Linked DNA regions of Yarrowia lipolytica. The protein of the gene in region 1 purifies or fractionates together with the protein of each later gene. This does not show direct contact. Links are inferred from orthologs where the notes say so. Each region holds a gene or a part of one and is shown in the gene's direction. Other genes may lie near its edges.

Region 1 (4,096 bases):
AGCACGATCCCTTCAACAAGATGATGTCAAGCTTCTCCAGTAAACATGACGGCCCAATCGACCTCCAAGGCTGTGTCACCTACCTCAAAATCCAGCTAAACAGGCTGGGAGCCCTGGCACAATACTACGACGTGGTTCACTTGCAGTACGACCAAATGCCCGAGCCTGCCCGAACTGAGCTGGGCTCTATTGCCCGGAAGATTATGATCCTTGGCCAGCATCTGGTGAACGTGCTGGGTCCTGATCATCCTCTGACCGAAGAGCTCTGTAACATGATTCACATGGTTGGACCGAGAGTTATGTGTCTGTGAAACGCTCCTGTATCAATTTGTGCGACCAACTGAACTACAAGGAATGCTCTCATTACATGCAAACCGCAAACCTGAGCCAAGTACACGGCTGTGAAGTACAAGTATATAGACGACAATACCATGCGTAAACGGATGGCAACCATGAACTCGGAAGTCTTATAGTGCAGAATTATTACATAACCTATTGATCTACAGCTTTACTGATGTATATCTACAGTACAGACCATCTGTTCGACGATTTACAACTTTCGAAGCACGATGGACGCATGTTGTGCAGTGTTGCTAGTTGTGCTGAGAGACTGCACTATGAGACAAACTGACAAAAACCGAGATACCTGACCATATTTGATTGTAAAAACTAACACAACTTGCCAAATACAACAATAATACACTTGGAAGCCCGACTGAGCGTCCCTTCAAAGGCCGACCCCCCACCCAACTCTTTCAAACTTTGATTCACTTTGAGTTACACGATCTCTTTTGTTTTGGTCTGTGAATGACGATATACGCGAAGTTGAAAAGGGAAAATGGATACGTAGATAGCCTTTTCTTGTGCTTTCGACATGATTTTTTCAAAGAGATGTGTTTTTCGAGTACTCCCCATCGAGATATATGCTTGCCAATCTGCGGAGAAATCCAACGGCAACTCAAAACGACGACAAAGAAAACGGTTGAAACAAGCAAGCAACTGTAGCTTGGTGCACATGTGGGTGAACAAACTGGCTGTGAAACTGAACCCCAGCTTGTTTGCTACTTGCAGCCGATTCATATGATCACGTGACTACTATTTCCTGCCCACACGTCAATATCTCAAGATGGCATGCGCCGGTGAGTGGCCGAGAATATGCATGGTTAGATGGGGTGCGTTGTATCGATGAGAGGGATTCCATCTCCGGCTCGGAAGTATATTTGAGTCATGATTGACTCTGCAACTTGTCTCGGTTCGAATCCTGTGGAAGACGCTCGAGTACTCACACTGTTCTGTACGTTCTGTACAGAATGTTCGTTAACATAGCAACGAAGAGGTGTTTCAAGGGCATAACCCAATCAAACCAAATACAAGCATCTATATCACCGCTCGTCTAGTCAGTACTCGTGCCAATGGCTCTCTATGACATCTCTCCGACCCCAGAACTCAGTTTATTGCCGGATACGCCCTGCGACTTTCGGCTATTATTGGTCTTTGCTTCTCTTGGATCACCTGCATGGAAATATCTCCGCCTACATTAATATTTTTCTGCATCCGAGTTTCACGCGGAGGGTGTGTAGCAGGGGAGGGGGTAAAAGGAGTCTTCTCAGTCGACTTTTAAACACGTGTTTTTGTTCCAGTCTGGTCATAGGACGTATAAATCTCGCATCACGTGCTCAGACCGTCGATACCACGTCTAGACCACTCCCCAGGTATGCACTTCACGAGGCTTACCAATCAACCCCCACTAACCTCTTCTTGCATAACTCTATCTATTGGCTGGAACATACATGTCCTGTGGGTGTTGATTTCAGATGTCGAAAAAAGAAGGCACAATCTACACGATGGAAAGACAAAAACAGCCTTGTTTTACTCTAAATTCTCCCCTCTTCAGAATAAGCTCTCTATCTGTCCCGTGACCCACTTGCTCTCTACTATTCTTCGCCACCGTCCAGTATCTCGTTTACACGTGCCGTGATTTACACCTCCCAAAATTGGCTTCCCCAGAGAAAACGGTGCACCTACAACTGTCTACCTCCACCCACACAAGACTACACACACGCAATGACCCTCCGACTTGCGTTTCGAAGCGTGGGCCGTGCAATGGCCACCAGGACCGCGTACCCCTCGCTGGCCCGATCCCTGGCCACCCACGCGCCCTCCACAGAGACCTTCACCGCTTCTGCGCCTGAGGGATCTCTGGTGGCCAAGGCCGTCGAGGCTGTCCAGAACGCTCCTGCCGGCGATGAGCGACCCATCTACCTGGACATGCAGGCCACTACCCCCACGGACCCCCGTGTGCTGGACGTGATGCTCAACTACTATACGGACATGTATGGCAACCCCCATTCGCGAACACACTCGTACGGATGGGAGACCGACACCGCTGTCGAAAAGGCGCGAGAGGAGATTGCCGCCCTAATCGGAGCCGACCCCAAGGAGATCATCTTCACCTCCGGCGCCACCGAGTCCAACAACATGGTCATCAAGGGTATTGCCCGGTTCTACAAGGGCCGAAAGCGACACATCATCACCACCCAGACCGAGCACAAGTGCATTCTGGACTCGTGCCGATACCTGCAGGATGAGGGCTTCGAGGTCACTTACCTGCCCGTTCTGTCCTCCGGTCTCATTGACATGAAGCAGCTGGAGGCCGCCATTCGACCCGACACTGCTCTGGTGTCCATCATGGCCGTCAACAACGAGATTGGTGTGATCCAGCCCATTGCTGAGATTGGCGCTCTGTGTCGATCCAAGAAGGTCTTCTTCCACACCGATGCTGCCCAGGCCGTCGGAAAGATCCCCATCGACGTCAACGCCGACAAGATTGATGTTATGAGCATAAGTGGACACAAGCTTTACGGCCCCATGGGTATCGGTGCCTGCTACGTGCGACGACGACCCCGAGTGCGTCTCGAGCCCATCATTACCGGTGGAGGTCAGGAGCGAGGTCTTCGATCTGGAACTCTGGCTGCCCCCCTCGTTGCTGGCTTTGGAGAGGCTGCCCGTCTGTGTCGACAGGAGATGCCCTACGACACCGCCCACATTAAGAAGCTGTCTGACAAGCTCAAGAACGGTCTCCTGGCCATGGAGCACACTTCTCTGAACGGAGACGCTGAGCACCACTACCCCGGTTGTGTCAACATCTCTTTTGCTTACGTTGAGGGAGAGTCTCTGCTGATGGCTCTCAAGGACATTGCTCTTTCTTCTGGATCCGCCTGCACCTCTGCCTCTCTCGAGCCCTCTTACGTGCTCCGGGCTCTTGGTGCCGATGACGCTCTTGCCCACTCCTCCATTCGATTTGGTATTGGTCGATTCACCACTGAGGCCGAGGTCGACTACGTGCTTAAGGCCGTGCAGGAGCGAGTCAACTTCCTGCGAGAGCTGTCTCCTCTGTGGGAGATGGTCCAGGAGGGTATTGATTTGGATTCTATTGAGTGGTCTCAGCATTAAGCGAACATGGCAGCCAGCAAAAACATTGCGCAACCATGATAAGCGGTATGAACTGTTCTAGACAAGTGTACGAATCAGGTGCAACTAGATCCGCAACAATAAACAAAAAACTGATGAGCCGTGATATATAGGCATGGCATGTGATGAATAGTGAATGATAGTAAGGTAGAGATATGAGTTGAGAAAGAGTGGACGTGAAGAATATGGCTTATCATTGGCTACTTGTAGTCTGCGTTCCAACCAGTATTCCTACGGACGACTCCAATATGCTCCAGCAGCCAATGGGTAGTTGATGACACCACGATTGGCTTGTATCCGTGTAGTACCTGAAGATGGTGGTTGGCGTAGTGTTGTATTGTCATGTGCTATCCTAGTGGTAAAATGCAGCTAACCATAGTGCAGAATCACTAAGGGTGCAGTAGCTGATACGAGATATAGCCCAGTTTCAAGGATTAGGGCAAGAGAGTCCACTTCTACTCGAGGAAACGAAGAGTTACATACCGAACTAATCGTCTTGGGGGGGTCTTAGTGAAGGTCAGTTCAACTCCTTTCTCTTTGTCGTTCCAATTCCGTGTAAGGAGTCAAACATACGACACCGATAAACACCTGGAAGGTCGCCGGTGCGAGTACATGCTGTGCGAAT
Region 2 (4,687 bases), on another chromosome or scaffold:
GTATCACTTTACTTGTGTCTCCAACGCCGTTGACAAATTAACCTTCGTCCCCTATAGCTCAGTTGGTAGAGCGTTCGGCTTTTAGTAACCCTAAAGGCATGGTAACCGAAATGTCCAGGGTTCGAGCCCCTGTGGGGGAGTTAACATTGTTAATTTCCTTTTTGTTTTTTTTTGGTGTTTTTCTTTTGTTTTTGTTTCTCCTCGCCTTGGATAAAAATTGTGCACTGGTTTTAGCCCCCTTTCATAAGTACAGTACCGGTACATTGTGCTGGAAGTTGTAGCCATGTCAGATAAAAATGTTGTTTAAATTGCTCACCAAAAAAGTGGAGTCATATTCTGAGATGTTTTGGGCAGTTTTTCGCACGGAAAAAGTTGAAAATCAGATCTACAAACACTTTAAAATATATTTATTGATTCAATTTTGTTGTTTATCACCACTAACACCACGTTTGGTACGTCTTTTGTCCCAGATATTAAACTCCGTTATCAGTGGGGCTTGCATTTATCATGCATAATCGTTTGAATTAGTTTCACATTGAGAATAGTGTCTCTAACTCGGTCAATATCGATGGGGTTGACTAGGTGAAAGTTGTAAATACATTATAAGACTCACCGTGAACTCTAGTAAAAAAATTGTCTTTCTACGACCTCTATTGATCCAGAAAAATGAACATCTCGTGAATCCCCCATTTGCCTGTCCTGATCTTAGAGAAACTCGAAAACTACAATTTTCACAGGGTCAATTGAAGAGCTGGTATATTGCAATGTCATTTAGAGCCTTTATATCAACTTTCGGTGTCAATTTGGGCCCATTTGTCACATTCTCGTGTGTAAATATCGGCTGTCATTTTTTGGCTCGATAGAGTTTTGGTCTAAACCAAACTGCGGTTATTGGAATGAGAGTGGAAAACGTCCAGGTGGGTTGTGAGAGGTGACATGAGCTTGAATCAACCACCAGCGAGTTTCTACCATTGGTTTTTGCCGCTTTCATGGTCTCCTTTTCTCCAAACATCCACCACATTCTAGAAGATTCCAAGGCCTTCTACAACGTTCCACCCGATTCCATAGTGCCGAAACATCACCGGGAATGGGTCCTGAACCGCAAATTTTTCCCGTTTCGCCACCATTCTTCCCATTGACCCGGTTAAAATCGGTTTCTTTGCCACCGGGCGTGAAATCGCCCATCTAGCGCTCATTCTGAATGGTCCAAAACCACCCTTCCCGCTCTAGGAAGAGGCATACCACTGTCGATTCGTACTGCGACCACTCCGCCCAGAAATACTGTACGAATGCTACACTGCTGCCGCCTCTGCTCACACCACCGCCCACATGCACATTTCCCCGCTCATTGGCCCGCGAAAGGGTTGCTACGAGGGCCAGACTGAGGCAGTCTCAGCCTCGCGATTAGGTTAAGGCGTAGGCATATGTGATGCCTTTAGATGTGCGGAAGATGTCGTATCTACTGACGCTAGCAGGGGCAGTACACGTCAACAAACCACATAATCGTCTTCTCCATCCTCGGTTTAGTTGATTTCCCGTCTCTCCCGCCTTTGCCACCGCCACAGGTCCCAATAATCGCCATGGACGATTCCAGAACCGCCTTCAACTTTCAGCTCGGTTAACTTTGACGGTCCCATCGCCAAATATATATATCAGCAGCGGTAGCGGAGCAGACACACATAAAACGCACACGCTAACTACTACTTCAACATTATGTTTCGAGTGAACGCAAAGAACGTGCAGCGATTGAGGGCGCGACCTCTCGCTCACGCCAGCACAAGGACCCAGGTCCAGACCAGAGCTTTGAGTACTGCTGTTCGACCTACGACCTCCGCTACTACCAGCTGCTCTACATGGGGCACCATCAGAACCCCGACGATGATTCGGGCTCCAGGAAGCCTCGGATCGCCGAGATTCATCACTATGACCCAGAACCCCGGTGGCGAAAAGTCGTACCTGGAGTCGTACGGAGTGGATCTGTGCGAAAAGGCCAAGGAGGGCAAGCTAGATCCGGTGATTGGTCGAGACGAGGAGATCAAGCGAACGATCCAGATTCTGTCTCGACGAACGAAAAACAACCCCGCGCTGATTGGTCTGGCCGGAACCGGTAAGACCGCCATCATGGAGGGTCTGGCCCAGCGAATCGTCAACGGCGAGGTGCCCGAGTCCATGAAGGGCAAGCGGGTGATAGCTCTGGACGTGGGGGGACTCATTTCCGGCGCCAAGTACCGGGGCGAGTTCGAGGAACGTCTCAAGGGCATTCTGGAGGAGATTGACAAGGCTGAGGGCGAGGTGATTCTCTTTGTCGACGAGTTGCATCTGCTGCTGGGCCTAGGAAAGGGCGAGGGCTCGGTTGACGCCTCCAACCTGCTCAAGCCCGCTCTGTCGCGAGGTAAGCTGCAGTGCTGTGGAGCCACCACCATTGACGAGTACCGAAAGTACATTGAGAAGGATGCGGCCCTGGCTCGACGATTCCAGTCGGTCATGGTCAACGAGCCCTCCGTGGAAGACGCCATTTCCATTCTGCGAGGTCTCAAGGAGCGGTACGAGGTGCACCACGGAGTGCGACTGACCGACGCTGCTCTGGTGACTGCCGCCGTCTACTCCAACCGGTACATTTCCGACCGGTTCCTCCCCGACAAGGCCATTGATCTGGTTGACGAGGCTTGTTCGGCCCTGCGACTTCAGCACGAGTCCAAGCCCGACGAGCTGCAGGAGCTGGAGCGCCAGACGGTGACTCTGGAGATTGAGCTGGAGTCGCTGCGAGAGGAGGAGGACCCTCTGTCGGTGGAGCGACGAAAGAAGGTGGAGGAGAAGCTCGAATTCAAGAAGGGCGAGATTGAGCGGCTCACCAAGGTGTGGGAGGACGAAAAGCGGGCCATTGACCAGATCAAGGAGACCCAAAAGACCCTTGATGGCGCCCGAACCGATCTCGACACCGCCAGACGAACCGGCGACTTTGCCGCCGCCTCCAAGATCCAGTACCAGGACATTCCCGAGCTGGAGCGGATTCTCAAGGACGCCGAGTCCTCCGACGCCGGCTCTTCGTCTCTTTTGCACGACTCTGTGACCCCCAATGACATTGCCAAGGTTGTTTCTCGAATGACCGGCATCCCTACATCGTCCATGATGAAGGGCGAGAAGGACAAGCTGCTAGATATGGAGGTGTGCATGAAGTCACGTGTTGTGGGCCAGGACGAGGCCGTGGACGCTGTGGCTGACGCAGTGCGACTCCACCGAGCCGGTCTCACCAACCAGAAGCGTCCAGTGGCCTCGTTCATCTTCCTGGGACCCACCGGTACCGGTAAGACCGAGCTGACCAAGGGTCTGGCCGAGTTTCTGTTTGACGACGAGAATGCCATCATTCGGTTCGATATGTCCGAGTTCCAGGAGCGACACTCCATTGCTCGACTCATTGGTTCTCCCCCCGGCTACGTTGGCTACGAAGAGTCTGGAGAGCTGACCGAAAAGGTGCGACGAAAGCCCTACGCCGTGGTTCTGTTTGACGAGTTTGAGAAGGCCCACCCTGATGTGTCCAAGCTGCTGTTGCAGGTGCTGGATGAGGGTACGCTGACCGACTCGCAGGGCCGAAAGGTGGACTTTACCAACACCATTCTGGTCATGACCTCCAACATTGGCCAGGAGTATCTGATTTCGGACTCTCCCGACTCCAAGAAGAAGGTGATTGAGGCGCTCAAGTCGCACTACGCCCCCGAGTTCATCAACCGAATCGACGAGACTCTGGTGTTCAACCGACTGACCAAGGAGGCGCTGACCGAGATTATCGACATCCGGCTGCTCGAGGTCCAGGCTCGACTCGAGGACAAGCGAATCACGCTCTTTGTCGACGACGAGGCCAAGCAGTTCCTCGTCGACCACGGCTACGACCCCATGTACGGCGCCCGACCTCTCAACCGACTCATCCAGAAGAAGGTGCTCAACCCACTGGCTCTCCATCTGATCCAGGGCCGAACCCGAACCGGCGAGAATGTGCACGTGACTGTTAAGGATGGCGACATTTACGTTCCTGCCAACCACGAGACTGGAGAGATTGAGGAGTGAACCAACCTAGCGTCAAGCTGCATGTCTGGTAGACAGAGGTCATCAGATGAAGGTAGACTACACTAATGTATATAGAATAATGTTACTGATTGATAAGTTGAGAGAGAATATTGTAGAGCAGGGCCGATTGTATCAGTGTGTACTCCAACTTGATGAATCAGTCAACACCCCATTTCCAATCGCGTTGATATGGCGTACTTTGAGGTTGTCGGTGTCAACTCAAGCAGCCGTTCCGTAGTGTTATTGGGCAGCGAAATACTCTTATCAAAAGTCACGGAGCAAGCCAATGGACTTGAAAAGTTTGGACAATAGCCAAGAATCTCGATTTCCAAGTGTATTACTTCTCTCCGCCCTTTTCTCCCTCTTCTGAGTACAAGTAAATCTCTGACAGGACTTCACAACAGGTCAACACTATCAAATGATACAATGTGCCCGGGCACTTGAGTTGATTGAAATCATTGACGATCAAATTGCGAAGCCTCGCTTTGCACTCCTCGCTTTGCACTCCTCGCGTTGCACATCCTGTCGGAAGTTTCTGCTCCACCCAGAAACATGTCTACCATTCGTCTCGAAGGACTCTGGCAGGCAGCATAAAAAGAACTGATGACACAGGCATAGATACATT

What was found.
Region 2: the proteins of YALI1_C26167g (region 1) and YALI1_F16656g purify together in Saccharomyces cerevisiae (affinity purification with mass spectrometry; 3 studies listed by BioGRID). This does not show direct contact. The link is inferred for Yarrowia lipolytica from reciprocal best matches to the Saccharomyces cerevisiae genes NFS1 and HSP78.

The regions. Positions count from the first base shown.
Region 1 is NC_090772.1:2,614,715-2,618,810, forward strand, and holds YALI1_C26167g (uncharacterized protein), read left to right. Parts: upstream 1-2,064; coding exon 2,065-3,453; downstream 3,454-4,096. Other genes in the region: YALI1_C26146g (uncharacterized protein), read left to right, coding at 1-311; YALI1_C26161g (uncharacterized protein), read left to right, coding at 1,423-1,878. UniProt on the Saccharomyces cerevisiae protein: Catalyzes the removal of elemental sulfur from cysteine to produce alanine. It supplies the inorganic sulfur for iron-sulfur (Fe-S) clusters. Plays a role in both tRNA-processing and mitochondrial metabolism.
Region 2 is NC_090775.1:1,663,902-1,668,588, forward strand, and holds YALI1_F16656g (uncharacterized protein), read left to right. Parts: upstream 1-1,713; coding exon 1,714-4,062; downstream 4,063-4,687. Other genes in the region: YALI1_F16649g (uncharacterized protein), read right to left, coding at 845-1,039, 1,083-1,196. UniProt on the Saccharomyces cerevisiae protein: Required, in concert with mitochondrial Hsp70 (SSC1), for the dissociation, resolubilization and refolding of aggregates of damaged proteins in the mitochondrial matrix after heat stress.